Linked DNA regions of Ovis aries. The protein of the gene in region 4 binds, or shares a complex with, the protein of the main gene of each other region. Links are inferred from orthologs where the notes say so. Each region holds a gene or a part of one and is shown on either strand. Other genes may lie near its edges. The genes, in order: ODAD4, ODAD3, CLXN and ODAD1.

Region 1 (7,161 bases), on a different chromosome or scaffold from region 4:
CCTCCTGGCTCCTCTGACTACTCCTGCCTGAGGTTCATGGATCCTATGGACTTGGAACTCCCCACGCTAAGTGGTATGAGAGATACACCACTGGGGGTGACTCAAACTCATTTCCCTCAGACTCAGGCATGTTTTAAGGGGTTGCGTCTGTCTGCTGATTCCTAAAGCTTCAGCCAAATTAAAGGAGACAAGGCAAGCCCCTCAGCCTGCAGCCAGGCAGCAAGCCATGGAGGGGACTCAGCAGCACACCGTGGGTGGGGGTGGGGCTGGGGGCTGGCCTGCCTTCAGAGCGGCTTCCAGGGCCTCTGCAGGACAGCCAGGGACTGGGAACTCAGCCTGTGCTGTTTCTTGAGGGCAACGCTGCTCTCTTGCAGCCCTCCCTGTGACTTGCCGTGGGTGGAACACCTCTAGACACTCAGGGAATGTCTACAGCCCCTGGATCGCCAGGCTTGGATGTTCTTGGGCAGTGCAGTCTGCCCCTTGGTATGCTTTCCTGCCTGGAGATGCCAATCAGGGGGTGAGAGGTCAGGGACTAGGTCCCTTGAGGAGCCATTTAGGGCCGTGCGTCTGTTTGGCTTGATGGGCACTTCTCTCTGTCTCCTACTTTCAAAGCCCTGCCCAGCCTCCGAGGTGACCTCGAAACCTCCGCCTCCGTGAGGGGAAAGGCCCAGCTCTGCCTGCCCGCTGGAGTTCTCAGTCTGAGTTCCCTAGTCCCTGCCGCACCAGTCAGGAGTGAGGGACTGTGTTTTCAGCTTCCCGAGGGCCAGGGCCACGTCATCACCTTTGGTGCAATGCCGGAAAGACTCTAGATCTGCACCTTGTGTTACCCAGAGGCCTCACGTGGCAACTGATCACTTGAAATGTGGCTGGTGTGGCTGAGGAACTGAACTGCAACGCTCGTTTACTTCTAACTCCATTTATGCTAAACGCTGCAGGTGGCTAGTGGCCACCTGACTGAGCAGCGCAAGTCTGGACTGGTGAGTGAGGCCATCACGCTCCTTTTCTATTATCTTCTGTGGGGGCTGCACTTTTCCAAGCGCAAGTCCTAAAGTCAGTTTACAGGGTCTCAGCCAGCATTAAAGACAAGGAATGAGAAGAAAAAAGAAAATAGAGTAAGAAATACAGTGTACACAATAAAGGTAAATATGTTTTGTAAAACTTGCTATTTTTCATGTTTTTTCAAATAAAACTATGTGTATTGAGGGGAATTCCCTGGCAGTCCAGTAGTTGGGATGCTGACTTTTACTGCAGTGGGTGTGGGTTCGATCCCTGGTTGGAGAACTAAGATCCCTTAAGTTGCTGTGCAGTGTGGCCAAAACAAAGTTAACAGTATGTGTATTGGTTGGGTTGCTATATAAACTGATGGCAACAACAGACACTGGAAAGCCACTGCCCGACCTAGAAGGTGCTCTGCGGTTGGGGGGAAATAAACATCTGGGGCTGAGGGTCCCGGGGCCTGCCCATCCCCAGCCCCAGAGAGAGAGGCTCACGTTGATGATGGCCTGCTGCGCCTCATTGTTATGGACCAGCTTTGCTCTCTCCAGGGCCTTCTCAAAGTTGTTCACGGCCGATTCGAAGTCCCTCAGCTTCACTGAAGGGCACAAGGGAGCATGAGGATAGTGACATAATATCAGTGTACATATTCAGGGTACAATAGTAGGGTACCAGGGGCCCTCAGGAGCAGCAACACCAGGCTGCCCAGCGCCACCCTTTCCAGACATTTCCTGGGCCACCTCACCACTAGGGAACAGAACCTGGGCACTGGAGCCTTGGATTTCAGGTGCCAAGAGTCAGTGAGGGAAGGGGTCTGTGCCCACATCACGTGTCTCCAGGGGGACAACTCCATCCTGCCCCACTGTTGCCCTAATGGTCTGGGAGTGAGCGACGAGAATGAAGACAGAATGTGAAATCTGGTGCAATGGGTCAGGGGACCAGCAGCCTCTACTGGACTGAGGTGCAGAGTCCACTCTGAATCCAGCTTTTATCCCTAACTGCAGACCATAAGACTTTCTCAGATCTTATCTTTCTCAAGACACATGCCGTATCAATCACATACTCCTAAACAGCATGGACTACACTGACATAGTCCAGAGCTCCTTGCGTTTACCCCAGTCCATTCCCTTCTGGGCTGGTCTTGGGAACAATTAGCAAGTGTGTAGGCAGCGTTCATGCCTGACGCTGACCCAGCATTCCAAGCTGTATGCTTTTATGATCCCAGTCATAATACCTTCTGGGTCTGGCCCTGGGGTTTGTAACAAGGCTATAACTCTAAGAAGACATGAAAAAGAATCATCAATATAGTTTCTTAATATATGCTGTTATTCCAAGTGCTATTTCTGTGAAATTTCTCAAGGCCATGAAATTACATTATTAGGAATTCCCACTATACCCCATCTTTAAATGGTTCCAGGAGAAGACATCTATTTTTTTTTTTCTTTTTTAATGTTTACTCAGATTTGTTAAGAACACTGTGGACACCAAACACAATCTGGCAGGACTGGATGTGACTCTTCATGAGCCAGTGGCTGGGACATCAGTGCCCATGTTGGAATAATCTGAACCCAGGAAGGAAGCAGCCCCCCACCCACCCCAGGGTACTCACCTGACCAGTTAGCACTGGGCCAGGGATGAGGGCTATGAACTGACTGCCTTTGGAAAAACCTTAATTTCAGGAAGGAAGGAGAAAAGTGCTCGCCTGCCAGGGCTGGGAACCCCACACTTCACTCTCTTTACACACCACTGCTTCCGCTTTTTTTAAAAAATTAATTAATTTGGCTGTGCTGGGTTTCAGTTGTGGCATGCAGGATCTAGTTCCCTGACCAGGGATCAAACCCGAGCGCCCTACTTTGGGGGCATGAAGTTCCAGCCACTGGACCTCCAGGGAAGTCCCTCCACTGCTTCCTCTTGTAACTAGCACCCCAAGATCTACCCCTCTCCCACAAACTGCTTTAGGATTCCTGGGGAAAGAAGGGCCTTGGATCCACAGCTCAAATTGCAAAAGGCAATTACATTTGAAAGGTGATTCTAGCATAGTTTGAAAAGTCTGTGGCGTCAACATACATTTCTTTCTCAAATACACATTTGAAAAGAAGAAAACTCACAGTAATGCCTCAGAGGCCTCCATGAATAAATGTCTACGTCATTCTGACATGGTAGGTCAGAATAGGAGTCAACATTCAAGTGAGTGGAAGCATTAAAGACCATTCTATTTGTTTTCAACTGAATCTATAACCTGAAATTATCTCCATTCTGGGGGCCCTTTTCCTCTTCTTTTCCTCACTCTGTGCATCCACAAATCCACACAGGTATATCCATATTTTTGTTGGCTTTTCCAGGGACTAATTGTTTCTTACCACTGTTGGAAACACTTATGGGAAGCTGATGGGGAGGAAGGAAGAAATGAGTATTTCCTGAGAGCTTGTTATATGCTGGTTCCTATTCTAAGTGCTTACATGCGCAGCCATTACCTCATGTCTTCACACTATGAAGAAGATACGTACACACTATACGTGTCAGTCGTGTCCGACTCCTTGTGACACCATGGACTGTAGCCCTCCCAGGCTCCTCTGTCCATGGGATTCTCCAGGCAACAATATTAGAGTGGGTTGCCATTTCCTTCTCTAGCATACATACTATAATTATCCCTATTTGCAGAGCCCAAGATCTGCCCGCTTGGCCAGGCTGCCTCTATAACCCAGGGGCTCTTTGGCTGCTGTGTTGGACTGGACTTTTCCACCATACAGCATGGAAACTGAGGCCAGTAGTGAGTGGCCTGCTCCTCCAGAGGCCCTCAGAGCCTAACAAGACCTCATCAGGGACAGGAATTCCCTGGTGGTCCAGTGGTTAAGACTTCACGCTTTCACTGCCAGGGCCCGGGTTCACTATCTGGTCAGGAACTAGGATCCTACAAGCCCTGTTGCAGTGCAGCCAAAAAGCAAACACAAAAAAAGTCATCACAGAAACAGCAAAGGGTTCTAGGAAAAGGCACAGTAATCACATCTTCCCCAGTTTCAAGCTTTCAAGTGGTTTTTTCCTCTATGTTTTTAGGAAAGAATCCACGATGTGTAAGGAAGCCTGAGAGGCCCTGTGGATCTGGCTCTTCACCAGCCTCCCTCCTCCAGACTTTCCTGGCCCCCAGAAGCTCAACACTGGTCTCCATCAGTTTCTTAAATCAGCCAAACTCTTGCCCACCTCCCTAAATGCGGTTCCTTTGGCGGAAAAGTTCTGCCTTCAGAACTTGGAACTGGTGCCTTTGTGTTCTTAATGATTCTGCTTTAAAGTTACTCCTCAGGGACTTCCCTGGTGATCCAGCGGTTAAGAATTCGCCTTGCAATGCATGGGACGAGGGTTCGATCCCTGGCCATGGAACTAAGATCCCACATGTCTCAGAACAACTAAGCCCACAAGCTGCAACTACCAAGCCCACACACCACAAAGGAGTACCTAGCTGTGAAAGACCCACGTGATACAGTGAAGATCCCATGTGCTGCAACTGACACCCAGTGCAGCCAAACAAATAAATATTAAAAAATAGTCACTCCTCAGATAGGAGGGCAGGAACAGTTACCAATTTTGCTTCCTACTGTATGCCCAGCTTTGGTGCCTAGAAGGTGCCAGGAAAGCATTAATGATGTGAGTAAGTGAATGAGTGATGAGACCCGTGATCAGAGTGCCTGTCATGCTTACCCCCTCTCTGGGGTCAGCCGTGTGCCCAGGGCAGGGCAGGTCCGAAACTGAACAGAAGACCCAGCTCCGCGGCTTCCTTATTACTGTGGCCTAGAGCTACTTCTCCTTTTAAACTTGTATTGTGAAATATTTCAAATATACAGAAAAGTCAAAGGAATAGTATCATGAATCCCCATTACTCATCACCTAGATTCAAATATCATATGATGTCACTTCCATGTGGAATCTAAAAAAATGATACACGTGAACTTATTTACAAAACAGAAACACCCAGAAAACAAACTTATCAAAGGGGAAAAGGTGGGGAGGGATAAATTAGGAGGTTGGGATTAACATATATATTAATACACTACCGGGGGAGCCCGGTGGGCTGCCATCTATGGGGTTGCGCAGAGTTGGACACGAACGAAGCGACTTAGCAGCATTATATATAAAATAGATAATCAACAGGGATCTACTGCACAGCACAGGGAATTCCATTCAATACTCTGTAATAACCTACATGGGAAAAGAATCTGAAAAGAATAGATATATGTATTTGCATAACTGAATCACTTTGCTGGTCACTTAAAGCTCACACAACATTGTAAATCAACTATATTCTAATATAAAAGTTTTTAAAAATTATCAGAACATTGCCAATCCTGTTCCATCTGTTCCTCCTCACCCCTATTCCTTGCTGTTTTATTAACAAGCCCATTAACTGTATTGAAATATGATTCACTCAGTATAAAATGTACCCCTTTGTAAGTACACAGTTCAATGATTTCTAGAAAATTTATAGACTTGTGCAATGAACACCACAACTCAGCTTGAGGACTTTCCCAGCCCCCTAAAAAAGCGCCCTCTCGAGACCTGGGGCAATCTGCAGCACCACTCAGAGTCTCCGTTTCCCAGCCTATAAAAGGAGGACAATACCTCCAGCACTCGCTTGCAGAGTGATTACAGCGAGAATGCATGTATAAAGGCTACTGAGCCAAGAGGAGTGCAGCTGTTTCGATGAGGATGTGACACTGTGCTGGCCTGCCTGCAGCTCAGCTGAGTTCCTCAAGGGCAGGGCAGTTCTCTGGGTCTCCCAAGCCCTAACTGAGTGTAGCTTAGAGTAGGCACTATACACACTGGTCAAAACACGGGGGTTTATCCCCACTCTCAGAATCAGGATTTGTCTGGCCCATCAGGAGGGAAAGTTCAGCGCGGGCGTCACGGCAGGGCCTGAGGGCTGGGAAGGGCACTGTACCTTGTGCCTGCGCCACCAGGACGCTGGCATTCAGCTGCCACTCCATGTCCCCTTCTTCCTCGGCGCACTGTTGGGACTTCTCACCGTAGCTCTGGGCCTCCCAGGCCTGGTCTAGCTCCAGGTAGCAGCGGCCAATCTCATGGAACAGCCAGGTCTTCTCCAGGGTGGTTTTGGCCAGAGGGATCTTCTCCTCCCACCTGGAGACACCAAGAACTGGGTCAGAGTCCTCCACTCAGGCCCTGTACTCGGACTTAGGAGGCTGGGCTTCCTACTGGTGGCAGAAGGAAAACTGTCCTCCAACTACCAGTTCTTTTAGGTGCAGGAGTGGAGCTAACAAGCACTATCATATTTTTTAAACTACCAGGGTTATTTTGGTGCATCTATAGAATTGGCTTTGATACCACAGTTGAAAATAATGCTTGTAAAATAGCATTTGAAATAACTCCATAACCTTTGAAAGTCAAAGTGAATTTGCTCAGTTGTGTCCGACTCTTTGCAAACCCAAGGACTGTAGCCTACCAGGCTCCTCCATCCATGGGATTTTCCAGGCAAGAGTACTGGAGTGGGTTGCCATTTCCTTCTCCACGGGATCTTCTCGATCCAGGGATCGAACCCAGGTCTCTCTCATTGCAGGCAGACACTTTACCATATGAGCCACCAGGGAAGGCCACACATAACCTTTAAGAATATGATTAAGCACATTTAAGAGAAAATCAACACAATGAAAAAGACTGGGATGAAAAAACAAAATATCAATAAAAGTCAGAGGAGAATCAGAATGAACACTTGTCTTTGGATGGTGGGACTGAAGACTTCCTCATCTAATTTTCTATATTTTCCAAATGAATAATTTAAGGTTAAGCACATCTGACTCTCTGCGACCCCATGGACCATACAGTCCATGGAATTCTCTAGGCCAGAATACTGAAGTGGATAGCCTTTCCATCCTCCATGGGATCTTTCCAACCCAGGGATCAAACCCAGGTCTCCCTCATTGCAGGCAGATTCTTTACCAGCTCAGCCACCAGGGAAGCCCCACATTAAGCACATATTTACTATAAAACATTTTATTATGAAAAGACATGAATGGGGAGGTGAATGCTCACATGCTTCTGTCTTTTGGCACACAGGCGCCAGGGGCCACTGGGGAAACCAAATGACCTGGAGCACCAGGCTCCGGTCAACAAGTCTGTTCTAGTCAGGCAACGAATGCCTGAAGCACAATTTCTCTCTGCAGT
Region 2 (7,161 bases), on a different chromosome or scaffold from region 4:
CAGAGGGACCACCACTGGGGCACTGTTGACCACACCGGCCCCACTCTCACCCCCACCGGGCACCATGCGGCCTCACCTCACCAGCAGGGCCTCCCCTGAGTACTTGAGGTCTTCCAGTTCCTGCTGCAGCCGCTGCTTCTCTTGCTTCAGTCTCAGCAGCGTCTGCTCGTTCTCACTCTTGAGCACCTCCAGCTGTGTGAAGGTGTCACCCTGAGCCAGGAACCGCCGCACCACTGCCTGGGGGGTGACCCGGAGAGACCCATCAGAACCAGAGGCTTGTCCTGCTCCTTCTTTCCCAGGGATGAGCGGGACAAGTCGCCTGAGCTGATGATGGCTTCTGCACAATGCTGTCTCTGTGAGCCTTGGACTCAGGGCTGCCTTAAGGGTGTGCAACCCTGAACGAATGATTTTTGCAGGCCCTTCTTTGTCTATATAAGGAAAATGAATCAACCAAAATCAGATGTTGGGGCAGCGACAGCAGTGAGCACAGCTGCTTTCCAAAATCAATGTGCCAACAACCCCCACTCCTATGAGAAAATATGACTGGTCGTGGGAGCAACCCCAAGGCCAATTTCTGGAAAGACGTCTGGCCATAGCGCTCCAGATGACGCAATACATCCAAGTCCTGGAACTCCTTGGGGGTCACCCCATGGGATGAGTAGTGGGTTAGAGAGTTCCCCAAACAGAGAAATCAGACAGGGATGCAGAGGAATTAGTGTTGACCAGCCAGAGACGTCCATGGTGGCTTAGATGATAAAGAAATCTGCCTGCAATGTCAGAGACCCAAGTTTGATCCCTGCATAGTGAAGATGCCCTGGAGAAGGGAATGGTTACCCACTCCAGTATTCTTGCCTGGAGAATTCCACAGACAGAGGAGCCTGGCAGACTACAGTCCGTGGGTCGCAAAGAGTCTGATGTGACTGAGCGACTAATACTTTCACACTTTCACAGCTGGGGACCTAAAGTCTTAGAAAATTTTGAGGAAGATGCTGCCAAGCGCGGGTCCTAGAGTAGGGGCCCAGCCTCTCTGGGATGGAGGCTGGTACTGGGCCCCAGACCCTGCTATAGAGGCTGAAGATACAGGAGAGGAGAGACAACATTCCCCATTCTCCTAGTGCTGACATGCCAAAGAAGTCAGGGCCAGTGTATGCAGGAACAGGAGAGAGGGGCTTCCCTGGTGGTCCAGGGGCAAAGAATCTGCCTGCCAATGCAGGAGACATGGGTTCCATCCCTGGTCTGGGAAGATCCCACATGCCGCAGAGCAACTAAGCCTGTGCACCACTACTCCTGAGCCTGTGCGCTAGAGCCCGGGGGCTGCAACTCCTGGCCTGTGCGCTAGAGCCTGGGGGCTGCAACTCCTGGCCTGTGCGCTAGAGCCCGGGGGCTGCAACTCCTGGCCTGTGTGCTAGAGCCTGGGGGCTGCAACTCCTGGCCTGTGCGCTAGAGCCCGGGGGCTGCAACTCCTGAGCCTGTGGTCTGCAACAAGAGAAGGCACTGCCATGAGGAGCCCATGGAGCATAGCAACTAGACAGTAGCCGCTGCTCCCAGCATCTAGAGCAAAGCCCACACAACAGTGAAGACCCAGCACAGCCAAATATAAAGAAACAAAATAATGTTTTAAAATAAGGAACAGAAGACAGGATGGTGGCCAGTGTAGATAACTCGTGTCACTTTTGCTGTGAGAGGTAGCAGAGAAACGGGGCAGCAGCTGAAGGAGGGAGGGGTGTCTTTTTTTGTACGCTGAGAACTGACCAGGCAAAAAAAGGAGGCTGGGTTCGTCGGCTTCCCAGGGTCGGCTCAGGCCATCTGGGAACTTGAGGGCTGAGGGCACACTCACGTGCGTTTCTGCCACGCCGGTGGCGTCCTTGACCTTGCCGAAGAGCACCTCCATCTGGTACATGCTCCAGCGCCGCTTCAGCTCCTCCTCCTTGGAGTGCATGCTGTCCTGGAGCGTGTCGTCAGACTGCAGCAGCACATGCTCACGCTGGGTCTGCTCATGGGTGGGGGTCAGGGCCCGGGTCAGTCCGCAGCTGAGGCTTAGGGCAGGGGCCAGGGGCATTGGGAAAATATCTCCCGACCGGGTTCAGAAAGGGGGGTGGGCCCAAGCTTGGGGCCAAGTCAGGGCTTCCCAGGGGTCACTAGGGGTAAAGAGCCAGCCTGCCCATGCAGGAGACACAAGAGAGGCAGGTTCCATCTCTGGGTCGGGAAGATCTCCTTGGAGGAGGGCATGGCAACCCACTCCAGTATTCCTGCCTGGAGAATGCCATGGACAGAGGAGCCTGGCAGGCTACAGTCCATAGGGTCGAAGAGTTGGACACGACTGAAGCCACTTAGCATGCACACACGCAAGGCATCCAGGTAGGGGTCAGGAGTGCTTGGCAGGGCCTTGGTTAGAGGGAGGCCTTAGAGGCATCGTCAGCGGGGTGGGTCAGGAGCGTGGGGGCGGGGCCTGTCGGATAAGGGGACGGTTAGAGGTGGGGATCAATTTCGGATATGGGCAAGTTTGGGGGGAAGGATGAGGACCCCAGGAGAGTAAGGGGAGGGCTGGAGGGCGGGGTCAGGGATGTGGGAGGAGCCCTGGCATCTGGGGAGCTGGGGGCAGAGTCAGGAGAAACTTGCGGACTGCGGAAGGGTCTAGGGCCTGAGCCAACGCAGGGGCGCGGCGGGGACCCCGCGGGTCCGATCCAGGCAGGAGCACGCTGGGGTCTCGGCCGTGTCCCTAGCGCGCCCACCTTGCGCTCCATGCGCTCGTTCTGCAGCTTCTTCTCCTCCGCGCGCTTCTTGCACTCGGTTAGGTAGCGTTCGCGCTGCTTCCGCTCTCGGAACACGGTCTCTTCCAGATACTGCAGTTGGTTCTGGAGGGTGGACGGGGGAACGACAGGACCTGTTGGCGTCTACTGGGGCTCTGGGCCAGGGCTGCAGGCCCAACTCAAGACAACTGCGGCAAGGTGTGGGGTCCTGGGACAGAGACGGGATGGGTTTCGGGGCAGCTGGGGTTCAGATGCTGAGGCCAGGAGACCACGGCAGTGGCAGGGCAGGATTCCCAGGGGCCGGTGGGCTGGCACCTTGGCGATGTCCCTGGCGTTGAGCGCCTCCTGATTCACGAGGTGCAGTTCCTCCAGCTCGTGTTTCGTTCTCACCACCTCAGCCTCCATAAAGTCCAGCCGGTTCCCCAAGTGAAGGCTCTCCTCCTGGGGGTGAGAGATGGTTGAGCCTGTGACCGATGTCCCTAACTTGACTGGCCCTCCCATGTGCTGCCCCCCACCCACCCCCAGTCGCCCTGGTCCCTACTTGTAGGTAGGCCTTGAGCTGCAGGTACACACTGGTGATGTGTTCAGCCTCGTCTGCCTTCATCCGGGCCTTCTCCAGGCGGTTCTCCAGGTTCCGCATGGTCTAGAGGGAAGTAGAGACATCATTTTGCCAACAAAGGTCAAAGCTATGGTTTTTCCAGTACAGATGTGAGAGTTGGACCATAAAGAAGGCTGACTGCTTTCTTTATGCTTTCGAACTGTGGTGCTGAGAAAACTCTTGGGAGTCCCTTGGACAGCAAGGAGATCAAACCAGTCAATCCTAAAAGGAAACCAACCCTGAATATTCATTGGAAGGACTGGTGCTGAAGCTGAAGCTCTAATACTTTGGTCACCTGATGTGAAGAACAGACTCACTGGAAAAGACCCTGATCCTGGGAAAGACTGAAGGCAGGAGAAGGGTGTGACAGAGAATGAGTCTGGATGGCATCATTGACTCAATGGACAAGAGTTCGAGCAAACTCGGGGAGATGGTGAAGGACAAGGAAGCCTGGTGTGCTGCAGTCCATGGAGTCTCAAAGAGCCAGACACGCCTGAGCAAACTGAACAACAACAAGAGGGAAGCAAGCCTGGGCTGGATCCCTTCCCCGCTCAGCGCCTCCCGCAGGATCGGGGCCTCTGCAGACCCGGCAGGCCTTACCTTGGCCATCTCGGTGTTGCTGTCTTGTGCCTCGGCGATCTCCAGCTCGCGCAGACTGTGCTGCAGCTGGAGTTCTTCCAGCCACTTCTGCCGCAGGCCCAGCTGGTGCCGAAGAGCGTTCAGTTGCTTCACCTTTTCGTTCAGCCGGTAGTCCAGATGCTCCAGGGCTTGCTGGAGAGAGGGAAGCAACAGTGGGGGCCTGAACCCCCACCTAGTCCTTCCTTCTCCCACGTCTTGGTTCTCATCTCTCTCGTCTCTTGGTAGAGCCTCTGAAACCTGGCTGATCCTGCTTCTCCTGCAGATTCTCTTTTTTTTGGGTGGGGGGGCTGGTTTCCAGGTGGGCAGCCACCGCCCTGGTTGCCCCTTACCCATCTCCTTTGCCTTTGAGAGGCTCTTCTTTCATCTGACCACACATACCACTTGATACCATCCAGCCTCAGGGTTTTCTGAGTCACGTCTACACTGCATGAGTGCATGCTAAGTGGCTTCAGCCATGTCCGACTCTTTGCGACCCTATGGGCTGGAGCCCGCCAGGTCTTCTTTCCATGGGGATTCTCCAGGCAAGGATCCTGGAGTGGGTTGCCATGCGCTGCTTCAGGAGATCTTCCTGACCCAGGGATCCAACCCACGTCTCTTATGCCTACCCGCATTGGCAGGTGGCTTCTTTACCACTAGCACCACCTGGGAAGCCCCACCTCTACACTGAAGATATCCCAATTTAGCCTCCCCCCTGAGGCTCGTATATCCACATCTACACTGCCTTCTAGATGTCTCCACAGGAAGCTCAAAAACCATCTGTCAAAAATTGAGTATATCCTTGATCTTTCCCCAAAACTGCCCTTTTCGAATCTTCCTCATCTCAGCTCATGGCAACTCTGTCCTTCCAGGTGCTCAAGTCCCAAACCTTCACGTCAGCCTCATCTTCTCTTTTTCTCTCCCACTTACACCCAGTTTGTTAGCAATTCTCTATTCTGTCTCAAAGCTTCCTCCAGAGAGAGCCTGGTGGCTCAGTGGTGAAGAATCTGTCTGCAGGGCAGTAGATGCATGGGTTCAATCCCTGGGTCAGGAAGATCCCCTGGATGAGGAAACGGCAACCCACTCTAGTATTCTTGCTGGAAAATTCCATGGCCAAAGGAGTCTGGTGGGCTACAGTCCATGGGGTCGCAAAGAGTTGGATATGACTGAGCCAGATAGATCTCTTTCTTCCCATTTCTATCTCTTTTGGCCTAGTGTAGCCAGCATCATCCTTCACTTTGATAACCTCCTCTGGATGGCTTCTAACTCTTGCCTCCTCAGAGCCCATTTTCCACTTCTCTCTCTTTTTTTTTTTTAATATTTATTTGGCTACACCTGGTCTATAGTTATAGCACATGGGATATTTAATTGTGGTATGTGGGATCTAGTTGCCTGCCTAGGGATTGAAGCCGGGTCCCTTGCATTGGGAGTGTAGAGTCTTAACCACTGGACCACCAGGGAAGTCCCTTCACTTCTCTGATTCTTAGTATAAAATCTGCACTCGTGCAGCAAAGCCTGATGCAAGGTTCTGTCCCTGATCACCCCCCTAACCTCGCTGCCTATGGAGCCCCCCTCACTCACTCCCATTCTGCCACAATGACCTCCTTTGTGTCTCCAACACTCTACCTTTGTTCCTACCCAAGGGACTTTGCACTTGCTGTTCCATCTGTCTGGAATGCTTTCCCCCAGATCACTACTTGCCTGACCCCTTCTCAGCTCAAAGATCACCTTCCTAAAGAAAGCAAAGATCTCCACCTCATAATCTAAAAGGCAAACCCCTAACCCCCATCCATCTCTAGTGAGCCACTCTGTTTTATTTATTTCTCTTGTCACCATTGGAAATCACTTTCTTTGTATGTTTATTGTTCTTTTCTTGGGGTGGGGGGTGTCTGCTTTCTCCACTGAGATGACTCTGAGGAGTGGGGACATGGTCTGTGTTTTTCACCATATGGCAACCAATACCTAAAGCCATGCCAGGCACATGGTCAGTGTGTGAGAAAGACTGAGAAATAAATTAATGGCAGCTGGTGTGGAGAAGGGATTGGAGAGGGTGAGATGGGGGTCAGGGAGTCAGGTGGGGACCCAGGCTAGAAATGAAGGGAGGTGGTCAGAGGAATGGGAGTGAGGCAAACCTGGCCTGTCCTGTTCTTCAGGTACGGCTTCTCTGACTTCCATTCTCGAATCAGTGCCTGGACCACTTTCTCATCTCCCTGCAGGGAGGAAAGCCTGGGTCACAATACAAATTCCGGCCACCCTCTCCTTGAGAGCACCCCCTGGGGACGCTGCCTCCCCACCCCTGGAACCTCGTCCACCTCACCTGGAGCAGGGCTGTCAACTGTAGTTGCAGTACCCTGGTCTCCTCGCGGAGCTGGTTAATGGTCTCCTGATTCTTCTTGATGTTCCACTGGGTGCTCTCATAAAAGGCCTTCCGGTCACCCTCTGGGGTCATGTGAGGTGGGCAGGCAGAAGCAGAGCATCACGGAAGGGGGGACTTCCCAGAGGGAAGATCTTTTAGTAGGTATCAATAGTATAACAATATTACTCTGAGCATTTGTCATGCATTAGATGCAGGACTGGAGCTTCCCAGATGGATCAGTCGTAAAGAATCCACCTGCCAGTATAGGAGCTTCAGGAGACATAGGTTCGATTCCTGGCCCAGGAAGATCCCCAAGAGTAGGAAATGGCAACTGGCTCCAGTATTCTTGCCTGGGAAATCCCATGGATAGAGGAGGCTGGTGGGCTATAGTCCATGAGGTTGCAAAGAGTTGGACACGACTGAGTGACTGAGCATGCACGTAGAGATACTGGACTAATCCTTTTCTTTTATTTTTCTGTACTGCACTGCATGTGAGATCTTAGTTCTCCAACCAGGAATCAAACCCACACCCTCTGCAGTGAAGTGCAGCATCTTAACCACTGGAAAGCCAGGGATGGACTAGTCATTTTCTAGGTGTCAGATAGGATGTGCCAGTATGTACATACCCATATCCATATTATACCCATTTCACACATGAGAAGGCTCATGCTTATTAGACTGTTCAAGTTCACAAACAGTCAGACTCCCCAGCACATACTTTCAACCACTATGCAACATTACCTCCTAACAACAAAGCAATAAGTTTACACCAAGATTTCCCAACCTCGGCACAACTGACATTTGAGATAGATGATTATTTGCTGTGTTGAACTGTCCTGTGC
Region 3 (7,913 bases), on a different chromosome or scaffold from region 4:
GTGGAATTGGGATCACAGAACATGAAGCGTCTGTCCCAGGGTTTGCCTGAACTTCAAACTGTTTCCCTCAGTTGCGGCTGGATCTGGCCCATCAGGATGCTGGCATCTGCTCACCCCTGTCCATGATCATGTCGTCTGTCATCCCAAACGTCATATGCAGGATGTTCCGAAAGGCGTTGCGGTCCAGCCCAATGATTACGCCCTGCCGCTCGGTCACTTCTCCCACCAGGTTATAGAAGAGGTTGATAAGGCATTTCACTTCAAATTTACTAACTGGGAAAGAATAAAATTAAGACATAACAAAAGGCATTTTAACCTTTTAAGTCCAGCTTCAACTCTGCATGAATGAGTCTGCAAACAAACAACACTGGAGCCGTCCACAGCCAGCTGTCGACAGGAGACGACCCTGCTTTGAGACTCATGACCCCCAGGTTAACAGAGGACCCCACCACCCCAGAGTCTCGCCACAGCAGAAACAACAGCCATCCCTCCCATGCACTAAGGCTGTCATATTTGGGAAAAAAAAAAAAAAAGATAATATCAGCCAGGTCACCTGAAAGGCAACTGTGGGGTCTGATTATAACCTGAACAAGGCAGCAGAGGTGAGCATGGTGATGTGAAGAATGGTAATTTTCCCCATCATTAAAAAAAAATAATTTTCTTTATTTGTTCATTTTTGGCTGCGCTGGATCTTCACTGCCATGTGCAGGCTTTCTCTAGTTGTGGCGAGCAGGGGCTACTCTCCAGTCGCAGTGCATGGGCTTCTCACTGCGGTGGCTTCTCCTCTTGCAGAGAATAGGCTCTAGGGCACAAGGGCTTGGGTAGTTGTAGCTCCCCGTCTCTAGAGCACAGGCTCAATCGTTGCGGCGCACAGGCTAAGTTGCTCCATGGCTATGGGATCCTCCCAGACTAGGGATCAAACCTGTGTGCCCTGCATTGGCAGGCAGATTCTTAACCACTGGACCACCAGGGAAGCCCTCTGCAGCATTTTGATTACAGGCATTCATGAGATTTACAGTGTAGCGTTCCCCTGGAGATAGATACCAATCTCCCCCACACTAGGCACCAACTTGCATCTCACATTAGCTTTTGTGAAGCCATGAGTCAGATTTTGGAAATCAGAATCACCTATTTTCCAATAAAGGATTTAAGCATATGCTAGCACACAGGAAGTGTGGGCTGTGGGTGATGTGAAAATGAACAGGCAACCACAGAGCAGCACCTTGGAGGAAGAACACTTTTGTCTAAAGCGTGTGCACACACGTGCCTGCTTGCAGTGTGCATGACTGTGGAAAGGGTGGCCCAGTAAACACAGAGCTGATTGTGTCCCAAGCACCATCTGAGGTGCCTAGCTGGAAGGATTAGTGTCTGGCGTTAAGAACATAAAAAGGAGTTTAAATATGAACTACAGGTGGAAGATGGGGAAGATGTTATTTCAAAACATGACAAAATTGTGGTTGAGCATTTTTAAAAACAAGGAAGATGTGTCCATGTACAAGGAAACAGCACAGAGAAGCGGGTAAATCCCATCTCGTCTTTTAGGCCAGGACAGGTTTGAAGGTGATTTCTGGTTTGGGGCACCACAATTTAAGAGGAACATTGAAAACTTCAGAAAATAAATGATTTAGTAAATAGATTGATAAATAGTAGACAATGATACAGTGATTATAATTTTTAAAAGAGCTGTTAGTTGCCACAGAAAATGGTATGAATAGTATGTCACTTCCTCAAAAAACTTAAACATGGAAATACTACACAATCCAGTGATTTCACTTCTGGGTATTTTCCCCAAAGGATTGAAAGCATGGACTCTGATACCTGTGTACCAGTGTTCATACCAGGAGTATTCACAACAGTCAAAAGGTGGACGTAACCCAGGTGTCCAGGGAAGGATGAGTAGATGGGTGTCCATCCATACAATGGACTATGATTCAGCTTCAAAAAGGAGGGAAGTTGTGAATCATGTTACCATATCATAACTCTTGAATACAACATGCTAGAGTGAAACAAGCCAACAAAGATAACAAATATTTTATGATTGTACTTCTATGATGTACCCAGAGTAGTCAAATTCACAGAGACAAAAAAGTAGGTGGTGGGTGCCAGGGGCCAGGGGAGAAGGAAGGGACCAATAGTCTCATGGGGACTCAGTTTGGGAAGATGGGAAAGTTCTGGAGATGATGAGGGGCATGGCTGCCCAACAATACGAATGTACTTAATGCCACTGAACTGTGCACTTCAAATAATTAAAGTGATACATTTTGTGTATTTGTGTAATACACAATTTGTGTAATACATTGTGTGTGTTTAACCACAGTAAAAACTCTAAAAATAAAAAGTGATGTTAATGGTTAGAGAAGAGAGACTTGCATGAAAGATGATGCGATCTGTTCCTGTATATGAAATGCTAGCTGAGGGGGTGTTGATTAGCCATTTTCCCATCTCAGCTGAATAAAAATGAAAGAATATTAGCTTATTACCCAAAGTATCAAAGCTGAGTAATTTTTCCACAGGAAAAATTCTCTTGCTGAAATGTTTCTTAAATTCAAGAATACAATACTAAATGAAATTAGGGACATCGGAGAAGGGATTTTTCATCTTTTCAGATTGGTGTAAGTCTGCTCTGCAGATCAGATCTGCCAGGTGGTGGATTAACTAGACCACCACTTAAGATACTTTCTTCTCTGATTCTGCAAAATCTACTCACTTCATCCTGCTGGGAACATCACCTGGCAACTAAAAGGAAATCTGACTTTAGAAGAAAGGTCTTCTGTGTAAAGTTTCAAAATTATTACAACGTCTATGATTAGTTGCCTGGCCCGGGATTCTCACTGTTTCTACAGAATTTAATCATCAAGTTTCTTAAGACTTACTTTAAAAATTTTATGTGAAGGACAAAAATCAAAACTGTTGACTGGTTTTCTTGTCCCGTTTTCACTTATCTTTTAATATATTCACAGAATGTCTGCAATACATTTGCAAACACACTGGAAAAGGAACTAAATCAGATTCAGTGTTTGCCGTGTATAGTAGTTATTGCATTGTTCATTCAATATGTGACTAGATGTTTTAAGAAAATCTGGTCTTTTCCAACAAATGAAAGTATTTTAAGAAAAACAATAGGACAAAACTCTCAGATTATAGTAACCATAATAATAGATTATAGGACAACTTTCATTTTCAGAGTTTAAGATGCTTATACATACCATAACTTTTATTTGCAGCACCATCCTGACAGACTTTCCTACCTCTCATTATATAAGATACTAACTCTGATTAGAAGGCACTAGATTCCATAATCTTTAAAACTACATCAAAACATGTTTGCTCTTCTTTCTTTGCACCATGGGAATAGTCTTGGGATTATGGTTTCTTGTACTTTTTAAGAGGCCAGTAGTTTTGTAATAAGCACATAACTTATAAGCTGGATCATCAAATATTTATACCAGATCCATAGCTTCCTTGCCCAAGCACAGTTCTGTTTTTGAGTCTGAATACAATTATAAGGTTACCTGTGAAATTCTAGGACCACTTTTCAGAATATGTGTGAGATGGGAGTAGGGAGGTTATTAACATTAATATCTTTCATAGGTGTTCATCTTGTCACCTGCCAAGTCTCCTTCACTTTGCAGGAAAGTGGGGCCCCAGAGATGGGAACAGATACTGTATTGTGTGATTAGCTTTTTTGAGCTCCTTGGTTTCCAGGCACATTTCCTTGCCCTGAGATACAGGTTTCTGTACCGCTTTAACCCACCTTTCCTAAGGATGTTCAACCATTGATAACCACTTTCCCATAAGGTTCGCTTAGTAATGTCCAGAACTTGGACCTTGCCAGTTGGTTTGCTCTAAGAAGAGCTTTTTGTTGTGCTACTTCTCTTGATTCCAGTGGGTTTTTAGTGCTTGTTTTCCACCTAAATCTGAGGCTAGGGCCACATACGTCTTCAGGGTAATTAAATCACATTTCTTATAAGGTAAGGGGAAGTTAAGAGAAGGTTTGAGAAGCAAGCACGTGCATGCATGAGTGTAGAATTTGGTGCCTCGACACCTGGAAACGCTCCCTAAGATCCTGGGCTCTGTGGGTGTCCACCCAAAGTAGCTGATGCTAGTGTTCCCTTCCAGACTTCTCTTTAGGGTCAGGCGTGGAGGGACTCTGCAGACCAGACTCTAGCACCCGCAGGATAGGGCCTGACCCGGGAGTCTCTGCCCGCCCAGCCCTTGATTCTTACTTACAATGCTTGCAATTTTTAGTTAAGGAGTCCGTCAGCTTCTGCAGCTTCTTGCGGTTCATGTTGGGAGCTCAGGAAACCGGGAAGAGGCCGGTGTCCGGCGGCGGCTGCCAGGACGGTTGCGAGCCCTGGGTCTGGGGCTGCAGGCAGGTCTCCCCTGTGTGTGTATGCTGTCCTAACACGCGGCGTGGCCGGGGCAACGTCTGGGCGGCCGCCGATTGGCTGCTGGGCAGGAGAGGGCGCGGTCCTAACAGGCGGCGTGGTCATGGCAACCCTCGGGCGGCCGCTGATTGGTTGCTGGGTCTGAGCTCTCTCACTGGGCATCGGGCCAGGCGCCCTCCGACCGCTTTCCGACTGTGACATCGGCGAGTGACCATCCAGGTGTGTCTGGCTCGGATTCACAACCCCTTTGCTGTGCTGCACCGTAAGTCAAGGTCTGAATTTTGTTTTGCGCTCCGTGCGGGGATGTCTTGGGTGGTGAGCGTGACGCCAGGTCCTCAGGGAGGTCTGGGAACCTGGGGGATGCAGGAATGAGCAGGCGTGGATCCGGACGACAGCTGTGCAGGAAGGGAGGGTGAGGGGCTTGCTCTCAGGTTGCCAGTCCTTTTGCTCTGATGCCAGAAGGGAGTCTGCAGCAAGATATCTTCAAGGTTTTGATGATGTTACTGAGAGCAAGAGGAACTTGTAATAATTATTTATTTTTTTCCCTTCCCTGCTCATTCTTGAGGTAGGCGCGGAGGCTGTCAGTCGAATATGGGGAAAACCCCCTAGCAATTTTTTAAGCTGGATAGAGTCAACCTTCCAAATAAAGACATGCTGACAAAGGACAGTGGCTCTGGGGTACAACCTGAATTTGCTTTTCTGGAAGAATATCCCAGCAAAATGAATCTTTTACTTATTTGAAAGACAAGTTTTTTGACTGCAAACAAAGGCTAATTTTTACATCTTTACTCTGAGAGAAGTTTCTGCTTTTAACACAGATAAGACACCGTGTTTGAATTAAGACAGTAACAAGGGTTAGTTCAGCCAGAAGGAAAAGGTTGTACAATATTCTCCAACATGTCACTTGTTTCACTTCAGAAGCAGTAATTCTTTTTAATATGAATTATTTTATAGTGTGTGTACTATCATTGTGAAATGGAAAGCAGAAAAATTCTACCGACCATGAGTAACGATTCCAAATCAGGTCTCTGATTCTGTTTTCTTTTTTCATTTGTTATGGAATGGAAGACTGGGATGCTGTTTGAATCCAGAGTCAAGGATGCTTGAGGAAGGCAGGCACTGTGTTATCCTGAAGCAGATTCCTTGAGAACAGTAACTAATATGAAATGATAGTGATTGTGAGTTTTCCAGTTAATGGCTAACTGGTATTCCTATGCATAGTCTTGTCGGGCAGGTGTGGCATTTCTAATAGGATTGTAGGGAATGAATAGGGGTGGATGTATTCGGATACATTCACTGTGAGACCTTAGGGACTTGTCAGATGTCAGATATGGCAAATACTTAGTCCATAGAGATTGTTGGGGTGCTCATCGTAGAGACAAGCAGCTGAAAGAGTGGTAGTGGTTAATAGGAGAAGCTGCTGGCCCCTCTTGTGTCTACCAGGTGTGCTGAACAGACACCCTGCTGGCCCATCTGATGTGTCCACGCATCTCTGCACACTTCATGTGCCGGAAGCTTCTTAAGCACCTTTGGGGAGCAGATCAATTCTTCCTTCACAGCTTTCAGGCCTAGGTCCCACCATCCATGTTCCCTCAAAGTGGAAGAGCCGCTGGAAGGCAGTATGACAGAAGCCTGATTAGGAGTCAGAGCTGTCCTACCAGCAGAAATCCCGAACCTGCCAAGAAACCATGGTGAGGCGTCCTGCTCCCACCCTCGCTCCCAGGTCTTTCTTCTGTGTTATTCCTTTAGCCAGAACTTTACAAGCGTGTCATAGCATCTCCCTAGTATCTCAGAGGGTGGGTTGTGGAACTGGCCTCACACCCGTACAGTCTTGCAAACCTTTCTCAGGGAAAGCAGGTATTTATCAGAGGTATGTTTTGTCCACATGTTGGCCAGCTTCAGAGCATTCTCTACATTCTTGTGCCTTTTTGAACTTAGTATTTTTATACCTTAGAACAAGCTGTGGGCCTGATGGAGTCTGCTGAGTGTGTTTTGAGACTGGTTGTAATTTCTGTTCTTAGGTTTAGTTGCTTGTGTGAAAGAGATGCGGGACTGCGTCCCAAGGGCTTTTTCTGAGTGAAGCAATTAAGCCTGAACAGTTACCTCATATCAAGTCAATCAGTAATAGAATAATCAAAAACTGGGCTCACTCTGTGCTGTGTAAGAAATAGCCAATGGACTGTCCAGAGTTCGAACAGCTTTGGGATGGATACTTTTGTGGATACAATGGTGTATTAGAGTGATTATGAGTGTTTCCTTTAATTTTGTGTGCAAAACAGCCTCCTCTTAGACTCACAATTAACTGAAGTTTTGCCATGATAAAGAGCTTGAATGTCAAACTGATGACAGTATTTCACTTAATGTGGACCTTTTATAATGGAGGCATTTGGAAACTGTGGGAGATGACGTCACAGAATCGATTTCCAAGTATATTGCAAATCTACTATGAAATTACTTTAATGAAAGGAAAATATAGAGGTTACTTATCTACATAATTTATATCCAGTTGTACCAGTTTTAGGTTGTAGGGAGAGTGCTGAGAAGTTTTGGGGGGACTGTGGCCAACCTTTTAGACAGGTGACCATCTCTAACCACTTTCTCTCCCCCCTTCTGCTCCCCACAGCCCTCTGACAGCATGGAGCTGTCTCCCCACTCCAGGACTCCCACATGTCCTTCCCCCTGTCCCCCAGGACAGCTCTTCAGAGAGGTGAGTAAATCGTTATCTGCCTGGAGACCATTCTGTTCCAGCACTTCCCACAGTGAGTGATGGCTCTCTGATATGTCTACCCACTGGAATGTGAATCACATGATCCTGCTTTCCCCCCATATTTGTGTCTGTTTTATCTCTGAATCCCTGTGTCTGTCCGCTGTCACCCTTCTGCAGTTCGTAGCACAGCCCATGCTCCGTGGTCCACACTTAGGGAGAGGGAACTGGGAGTTCCTGAGCAGGTGGAGCCTGGAGCCCTTCCTCGGCAGCGCCTATCCTGGAGAATGCCAAGAAGGGACATTAAAGGGCTGGGGAGTGAGGAAGACATTTTCCTGAAATACATACTCAACACTCACTGCTATTAACACATTTCTGGTAACTTTTTGGAATCTTAAGCAAGTGAGTGGTGGGGAGGCCAAATGCCTGAGGTTTACTGAGGGTGGCATCAATTCAGTTCAGTCAGTCAGTCGTATCTGGCTCTTTATGACCCCATGGACTGGAGCACCCCAGGCCTCCCTGTCCATCATCAACTCCCGGAGCTTGCTCAAACTCATGTCCATTGAGTTGGTAATAGCATCCAACCATCTCATCCTCTGTCATCCCCCTCTCCTGCTTTCAATCTTTCCTAGCATCAGGGTCTTTTCCAATGAGTCAGTTCTTCACATCAGGTGACCAAAGTATTGGAGTTTCAGCTTCAGCATCAGTCCTTCCAATAAACCAGTTCAGTTCAGTTCAGCTCAGTTGCTCAGTCATGTCCGACTCTTTGCGACCCCACGAATCACAGCATACCAGGCCTCCCTGTCCATCACCAACTCCCG
Region 4 (7,257 bases):
ACCATAGTTCAAAAGCATCAATTCTTCAGCACTCAGCTTTCTTTATAGTCCAACTCTCACATCCATACATGACCACTGGAAAAACCATAACCTTGACTAGACGGACCTTTGTTGGCAAAGTAATGTCTCTGCTTTTTAATATGCTGTCTAGGTTGGTCATAACTTTTCTTCCAAGGAGTAAGCATCTTTTAATTTCATGGCTGCAATCACCATTTGCAGTGATTTTGGAGCCCCCCAAAATAAAGTTAGCCACTGTTTACACTGTTTCCCCATCTATTTCCCATGAAGTGATGGGACTGGATGCCATGATCTTAGTTTTCTGAATGTTGAGCTTTAAGCCAGCTTTTTCACTCTCCTCTTTCACTTTCATCAAGAGGCTCTTTAGTTCTCTTTAAGTCACTTTAAGTCAAGTAGGCAGTAATTCGTTACAGCAGCAATAGCAAACTAATACAGCCCACCAAGATAATTAACTTTCAATCTCCTATTTGTGATCCAGTAATGTGCAAGAAATCTTTTGGTCTCAGCAAACAACTTTTTTTTTAAGATTTTTTTGATGTGGACCATTTTTAAAATCTTTATTGAATTTGTTATAATATTGTTTCTGCTTTGTGTTTTGTTTTTTGGGCCCAAGGCATGCAGGATCTCAGCTCCCTCACCAGGGATTGAACCAGGACTCCCCAGCATTGGAAGGCAAAATCTTAACTATTGGACCTCTAGGGAAGTCTTTTGGCAAGAAACTTTTTAAAATGAAGAGTAGAATTGAAAATAGAATGGAAAAAAAAAAGAAAGAAAATATAATGGATCCCATGTGGAGAAGAATATTATTTGGGGAAACTTTTGTTTCTGACATATTTGTTTGTATGTGTGTTTACATCCATATGCATCTCTTTGTAAATGAACTGTGTCACAGTGAGTCCTGGTCCTAAAAACTGAAAAAAACACTCGCCTAGAAAAGTCACGTTTCCAGGGTCAAATAACAGGATCTTGAAGCCAACAGGATGAAAAGTCGGTCTAGACTCTGCTGCATTACCCACATTCTCTTTTTGCAGATGAAGAAACTCGGGCCCAGAGAGAAGATGACTTGCCCACGGTCACGTAGCTCTGATGCGCCTGGACCAAAATTCTATTATAATGCAGGGTGCACTGACTCCAGAAGGTGACTCTTGCCCTCTTAACCGCTTTTTTGAAGGCATGGGGCTGTGCTAAGCAGTAAAGACTCATAATTCCTATGGGAGCCTGAACACAAACTCCCTTGAGAGGATGCTTTCAATAACTTTCAATAACCCCATTGAAACGATCCCATTTTGATGCTTTCGATAACCCCACTTTTCAGATGAGGAAGGTGAGGCTCAAAGAGGTTATGACACTTGACCCTGAGCAGGACCCACCGAGTCTGGCCCCAGGACCCACCTGCCTGTCCAGGGCTTGGTTCTGCGCCTGCAGCTCCTTGACCTCGGCCTGCACCCGGACCTGGCACTTGAGCAGGTGGCCCATGCTCTCCAGCCTCTCGCTGTCCCGCAGCCGCCTGACCTGGCTCTGGGCGACGCTGATCTGCACCTGCAGTTTGTTTCGCACCCCCTCCAGGCGCTGGATCTCCTCACTGCCCAGGCAGGGAGGGGGAGGGGAAACCAGAACCGGGCAGAGCTCAGCATCACTGAAGTCCAGACAGACTGAGCCTGCCCTCCCCTCTCAGACCCAGGAATGCAACCCCCCACCTCCTTAACAGCCCCCTCCCCAGCTCCAGGGACCCAGGCTCACAGCTGCTTGTTGATGCGCTGATGGACTTCTTTGCTGTAGGCTCGCCTTTCGTCTTCCATCACTTTGCACTGTCGCTGCAGTCGGCTCAGCTCCCAGTCCACTGAGGCGCGGGACCAGGCAAGGGATTCATAGGAATCCAGCCCCTCCCTCTCCAACCCTAGGAATTCTGGCTCCCTTAGGGGCTCACCAACTGCAGCTAAACTGCAGACCCAGTCCCCCGCACCACTCTAGGGCTGCCTCTCAGTTCCTGTATCTCTCAAGCTTCCTCATCCCTGCATACTGCCTGTACCCTAAGCTGACCTCCGCGTTTCCCCGGCCCCAAAGCTACTTCTATCCAGGGTTTGGGCATGCCTCTGTTTCCCCACTAGAGGGAACTCCAGGGAAGCCTCACAGTCCTCAGGGACCAGAAGCACAGGACCTAGAACTTGGGAAAGCTGGGGACATGTGCCAAGTTCCCGGGGAAGGGGGGGGACACTTTTCTTGTTACATCCTTCCTGTTCAACCCCACCACCACCCTTCCTCAGCCCCACCCTCCCGCCTCCTCACTCTCAGCCCATCCCCTTGGCTCAGGCCTCACCTTCCCTTGCCTGGACCATCACCCCAGCCTCCTCCCCAACCTCCTGGCCTCCCTTCACAGCTCCAGAGGCTCTTTCCATGCCTAGAGCGGTCACAGACCTCCCTGTGCTCCAGCACCTCCAAAGCTGCAGCTCCACAGCCTGGGTTCCAGGCCCCACAAACCCGACCCTACCCACCTCTCTGGTCCCATCCACTAGCTCCCCATCCCCCACGGCCTGGTTCTCAACCAGGATCAATTCTGACCCCTTAAAGCCATTTGGCCGTGTCTGGAGACATGTTTGATTGCCACAGTGTAGGGGAGGGTCGGGAGGGTACTACTGGCATGCAGTGGGTAGAAGCCAGAGGAGCACTGCGCATCCTCCAGTGCACAGAACCCTCCCCCTAATATCCAAGAATGATCTGATCCCTGACCCCAAGGGTCAACGATGTGGAGGTAAAGAGACTTTGCTTTAGTCACATCCTGTTCTCTCTGCAGAAACACTCTTCCCTTCCTTCTCCTGTTGGTAATTCCTGGGAGAAGTTCTGGGCCTCACTCAAACTTCTGCAGGAAGCCTTTCTAGCCATCCCACTCCCCAGGTCCGGCTCCACCTCCATTCTGGAGCAAGTGTGTAGCCACTAGAGGGCGCTCCTGAAAACCCTCCTGGTCCCCAGGGCCCCGCTGCACAGGACCTGAAACATGGGAAAACCGGGGGAAAGAATGAATGAAATAAAGAAAGTAGGAATTACCCATTCCCTCCAGGAAGGCCTCACTTCCATCCTCGGAGCGAGTGCTCCCAGCCGAGAGTCCAAAAGGCATCTTGGCCAAAGAGGGTGAGGCTCCTGTAGGGGCGACACAGGACCCCTTCAGACGGTGAGGAGTGGGCGAGGAGGGTGGGCAATGAACAGCGAGGGACTAGGCACTGGAAGAGGGTGACCCCAGAACTGGCCTCTTTTTGAGTCTCAATTCCTCCAGTGAGTCAGAGCGGGGCACCTGTCAGATCTCTTCCCAAGCCCCTCCCAACCTCCCACCTCTCACATTCTGTCTTGCGTTACGGCTCTGACTCTGGCACGGGGTCCTCTAGACCCTCGGTATCTCCGAGGTGGGGCTGTTTGGGGAGGAGGCATCACAGAGGCAGGGGAAACCCCAGCCCCGGTCGGCTGAGGAGAGCGAGGCCCGGTCCCTACCTGCTGGAATGCCTGACCTGTCCTGGGTACTCCAAGCTCACTGTTGTGGTCTGGTTACTGGGGAGATAAGGGGCCAGTGAAGGTGTGAGGACAGCATCCGGGGAGGGACCAAGGCCACAGAAGAAAGCCGTGGGAGGGGAGGCTAGGGAGGAGGGGCCGACGAGGCCACGACGAAGCCTTCACGGTCAGGTGCTAAGAACAGATGAGTTAGGGGAGCATTACGAGGGCGGGGCTTCGGGGGTGCTGCGAGGGGCGGGGCTGAGGGCGGGGCTTCGGGAGTCCTGCGAGGGGCGGGGCTGGGAGGGCCTGTGAGGGCCGAACTGTAAGCCTTGTGAAGGGCGGGACTGTAGGCCGGGCGAGGGGCGGAGCTGTGGAGGACTAGGATGGGCGGGGCCGAAAGGGGCCTTTGAGGAGAGGGGAATTGCGTGAGCCTGAGGCGCGGCGCTTCGGGGCTAGCGAGGGAAAAGCAGAGCTGAAGGACTGGAGAGGGCTGGGGCTGCGGGACCTGACGAAGGCAGAGACACAGATAACGGTCCAGAGCAGGGCTGCGGAGCTTTGAGAGGGGAGGGACAAGAGTACCTGTAAAGGGCAGGGCTGCGGGCCCTGTGAGGGGTGGGGCTTCGGGGGGTGGCGAGGGGCGTGGCTGGGAGAACACGTGAGAGACCTGGCGGGAGGGCGCTGGAAGGACGCAGGTTCCCAAGACTTGTAGGGGGTGCTGAGGGTAACCGCCGAGATGATCTGTGTGAGGAGCACGGGGTTGTGAGGGGTAGGCTGTGTGTTTCCAAGAGGGAGAGGCAGTAGCTGAAAGAGCTTGTGGAGGCAGGGCTGGGAGGGGAACGTCCGGAAGGGTTTGGAACTGGGCCGAAGTCCTTCAGGATGGGGCGCGAGAGATGCGTGTATTAAGCTGATTAAGACCACGTTATTTTGAGGCTTCATTGGCAGGCAGGCGGTACCGATGCCGGGAGTTGTGAGGGAGAGGAGCGCTTACCACTGCCTCAAGTCCTCGAAGCCGCTCACTACGCATGCGCGGCCAACGGCCTCAGGAGAGACTGCCAAAACCTTCAGCTGCCGGAGCTGTCCGCGCTCTGCGAGGCGGAAGTGGGCGGGGCCTAGGGCGCTCCGCACCGCCCCTGCTTTCCGGTCACGCCCTCCCGGGCACGCCCCCGAGCTCCGCAGGGCACGCCCCCCCCTTTGACTGCCGCCTGCTGCCCACGTGGGCCTTCGCAGAGCCTGCTGTCTGTGGGCGCCGCTCCTTGCAGGCTGGGTGTGCCCAACGCCTGCGGTTTCCTGTGGGAGGAAGAGGCCCGCGGGCGCTCAGCTCGTGGCTTTGGAGGCCCAGGAGGGGAAGATTCCACCACCGCCCTCCGCTACCCTAATTCTCCCCCTTCTGTAGGGCCCTAGCATGGGGGACCCCCTGCCCGGAACATCTCCAGGGTACCCCAACCTGGCGCTAATTCCACTCTAGGAGTTTGATTCAGAGTCCTAGCTTCCTGTTCTCCACCTCCCCCGCTCAAATTCCATCTCTATAGCCCCTGGTTCCCAGACTCCTCCCAGGACTCAGGTCCAGCCCCTTTGCCTCCTTGAAGAACATAACGATCTCTAGTCCCTCATTTTTCCCCCGGTGACCCAGGCTTCCTAATTTACTTGGAGAACTGAGTTCAGACCCCCAGTCTCTGTCCTTCTCAAAGATGTAACTACTTTACCCACCCCCAGCGACCTTCATTTTGTACTCCCAAATTTTTAGACTTGGGACCCAATGGACCCAAGCATTTGTCCCTTCTCCAAATCCCAGACACCTCATCTCCCATGTCCCAGTGTGTCATGTAACATGCATGTACAACAGTGCTTTCTCTATGCCAGGCACTCCTCTAAGCATTGCTCCTTGAGGTATTTACTATTATTATTCCTATTTTACCGATGAAGACACTGAGGCATAGAGAGATTAATAACCTGCCCCAAATCACAGATAATGAATAAAGCCTATGTCATAGTGGTAACAGCTTCCAGGTTAGGGTTAGGAGTACCACCCAGTCACTGAACTGCCCCTCCCTCACCCCCTCAGGGAGCCCAGATAACCAACCACTCTCCCTCCCTCTCCCTGTGGCTCCCTCAGATACCCAGCCATCCCATCATCCAGTTCCTTTCCCCTGTGGGGACCAAGATTTCAGTCCTCCAGCTCTTAATTCCACATCAGGACCCCAGACACCTGGCTCCCTGTCCCTTGCTTTTCACCAAGCACCCAACCCTCCATAGAGACCCAGGTACATAGTGGTAATCACTCCCCACACTTATTCAATAATCTAAAAATAAATAATAATGATAACAATAATAGTTATTCATAACATTAAGTCCCTGGTACTGCACTTCTGTTTAAAACCGCCAATGGTTTCCCACCACCCTTAGAATAAAATCCAAACTCCTCCCCTAGGCTTCAAGGGCTCTCTTTGAATTCCCTTCCTACCACTCCCTCTAGTTCCCTATATTCCGGCCACACTGGCTCTTCTGTCTGCTCCCCAAACAACTTGAGCTTGTTCTCCAATCCTGTGTCCTTCCTCTCCCTCCAGCATTCAAATAACTCTTGTCTTCAAGTCTCATCTCAGAATGAGGTTTCTCCTTAGAAAAACCTTGCCGGATCACCCTTTTAAAGTTGCCTCCCATCATCAGCAGTGTCACTGTATTTCATTTCCTTCAAAGCCCTACCACCACCTGAAGTCTAGCTACTGTACTGATGCGTCATTCTCTCTCTTGCTCAACTAGAAGGTAAACTCCATAAGAACAGCAGGGCTCGCGTCTGTTTTCTTCATTATTAACTCCTGGTCCATAATAGATGTTCAATAAATGTTTGATGAGGAAAAGAAAAAATGTGTTAGGGGTGTTAGTGCAGTGGTATCGCCTTGTTTGTTTAGAGTAAGTATCAGAATTGTTATCGTTGCCGTTAGTATATAGTCAGCAGTATAAGTAGTACTGTGCCCAACTCTCGATTAGGAAACTGAGGTTCAGAGAGTTGGAATAATTGGTCAAGGTCCCCTAGGCAGGAAACGGTAGCCCTGGGTTCTTAACTTCCACCTCCTGCCCCCTTCCGGAGTTCCACACTTCCCCATTTCCCATCCCAATTCCCACCAGGGTGCCAACCCCACAAGTCCTCAGCCCACTCCCCTTGGCAGGAATCTGGTCTCCCCGCCCAGACACCCATCCCCCTGAGGATCCAGTCCTAAGCCCCATCAGGGAAAGCAGATGTCGATTCCCGGGACAAGTCCAGGAGCAGAGGCCTGAGAATCAGATCCTCCCACCCGATATGCCTGCCCCACCTAAGGGCCCCAGCTCTGTTTCCTTTCCTCCAAGGACGTGTCATCTCCACCGCAGGACGGGGAGCCCCAGAAGATGCCTGTTGGGGCAGTGGGTGGGGGCCCAGAAAAGGAGGAACGCGAGTGACTGGTCCCTCCCTCTGGCTGCCGACCTCAGCTGGGCGCGGTGGGTATAAAAGGGTCAGTATATATTGAGAAGGCCAGAGAAAGAGAAACCAGGAGAATGAGGAGAGAGGGAGGAGAATCGAGGTACAGACGGTGAGGACAGGAGAGAGAGACAAGAGGCAGAAGGCAAGAAAGAGAGAGAGAGGGAAAGAAAGGGTTCCGGAATTGGAGGGAAGAAAGAGAGAGAGAGCCAGAAAGGGAGGGAGGGAGAAAGGCGGTGAGAGGCGGGGGCCTGGAGAGGGTGGAAGGAGGGAAGAGAAGGGCGGGGCACGGAGGCCCGATCAAGGGA

The links.
Region 1: ODAD1 (region 4) and ODAD4 share a complex: the UniProt entries of both Homo sapiens proteins name them as parts of the outer dynein arm-docking complex. The link is inferred for Ovis aries from reciprocal best matches to the Homo sapiens genes ODAD1 and ODAD4.
Region 2: the proteins of ODAD1 (region 4) and ODAD3 are in contact, whole or in part, in a cryo-EM structure (PDB 9CPB), measured with the Bos taurus proteins. The link is inferred for Ovis aries from reciprocal best matches to the Homo sapiens genes ODAD1 and ODAD3. Residues at the interface, in XP_024834988.1 of Bos taurus: Leu31, Gln32, Gln34, Cys35, Met38, Glu41, Arg42, Tyr45, Val49, Arg52, Ile53, Gln56, Leu57, Glu59, Ile60, Leu63, Glu64, Val66, Arg67, Leu70, Arg71, Gln73, Ile74, Ala77, Gln78, Asp86, Arg89, Leu90, Ser92, Met93; in NP_001095517.1 of Bos taurus: Gln69, Leu73, Lys76, Ile77, Leu79, Leu80, Asp83, Arg84, Phe87, Tyr88, Thr91, Asn94, Ile95, Asn98, Gln99, Thr101, Ile102, Leu105, Arg106, Glu108, Thr109, Leu112, Gln113, Gln115, Leu116, Leu119, Gly122, Asp123, Val126, Ala129.
Region 3: ODAD1 (region 4) and CLXN share a complex: the UniProt entries of both Homo sapiens proteins name them as parts of the outer dynein arm-docking complex. The link is inferred for Ovis aries from reciprocal best matches to the Homo sapiens genes ODAD1 and CLXN.

Annotation. Positions count from the first base shown.
Region 1 is NC_056064.1:41,850,932-41,858,092, reverse strand, and holds part of ODAD4 (outer dynein arm-docking complex subunit 4), read right to left. Parts: intron 6,602-7,161; coding exon 6,443-6,601; intron 6,121-6,442; coding exon 5,924-6,120; intron 1,592-5,923; coding exon 1,491-1,591; exon of another isoform or gene 818-1,490; intron 1-817. UniProt on the Homo sapiens protein: Component of the outer dynein arm-docking complex (ODA-DC) that mediates outer dynein arms (ODA) binding onto the doublet microtubule. Plays an essential role for the assembly of ODA-DC and for the docking of ODA in ciliary axoneme.
Region 2 is NC_056058.1:13,531,045-13,538,205, forward strand, and holds part of ODAD3 (outer dynein arm-docking complex subunit 3), read right to left. Parts: intron 6,403-7,161; coding exon 6,281-6,402; intron 6,174-6,280; coding exon 6,096-6,173; intron 4,120-6,095; coding exon 3,949-4,119; intron 3,394-3,948; coding exon 3,292-3,393; intron 3,192-3,291; coding exon 3,066-3,191; intron 2,856-3,065; coding exon 2,733-2,855; intron 1,991-2,732; coding exon 1,838-1,990; intron 238-1,837; coding exon 77-237; intron 1-76. UniProt on the Homo sapiens protein: Component of the outer dynein arm-docking complex (ODA-DC) that mediates outer dynein arms (ODA) binding onto the doublet microtubule. Involved in mediating assembly of both ODAs and their axonemal docking complex onto ciliary microtubules.
Region 3 is NC_056062.1:32,838,371-32,846,283, forward strand, and holds the start of CLXN (calaxin), read right to left. Parts: upstream 4,386-7,913; 5' UTR 4,289-4,385; coding exon 4,231-4,288; intron 274-4,230; coding exon 115-273; intron 1-114. UniProt on the Homo sapiens protein: Component of the outer dynein arm-docking complex (ODA-DC) that mediates outer dynein arms (ODA) binding onto the doublet microtubule. Seems to regulate the assembly of both ODAs and their axonemal docking complex onto ciliary microtubules.
Region 4 is NC_056067.1:54,787,642-54,794,898, forward strand, and holds the start of ODAD1 (outer dynein arm-docking complex subunit 1), read right to left. Parts: upstream 3,818-7,257; intron 3,556-3,817; 5' UTR 3,516-3,555; exon of another isoform or gene 3,154-3,515; 5' UTR 3,131-3,153; coding exon 3,061-3,130; intron 1,859-3,060; coding exon 1,759-1,858; intron 1,601-1,758; coding exon 1,411-1,600; exon of another isoform or gene 1,050-1,410; intron 1-1,049. UniProt on the Homo sapiens protein: Component of the outer dynein arm-docking complex (ODA-DC) that mediates outer dynein arms (ODA) binding onto the doublet microtubule. Involved in mediating assembly of both ODAs and their axonemal docking complex onto ciliary microtubules.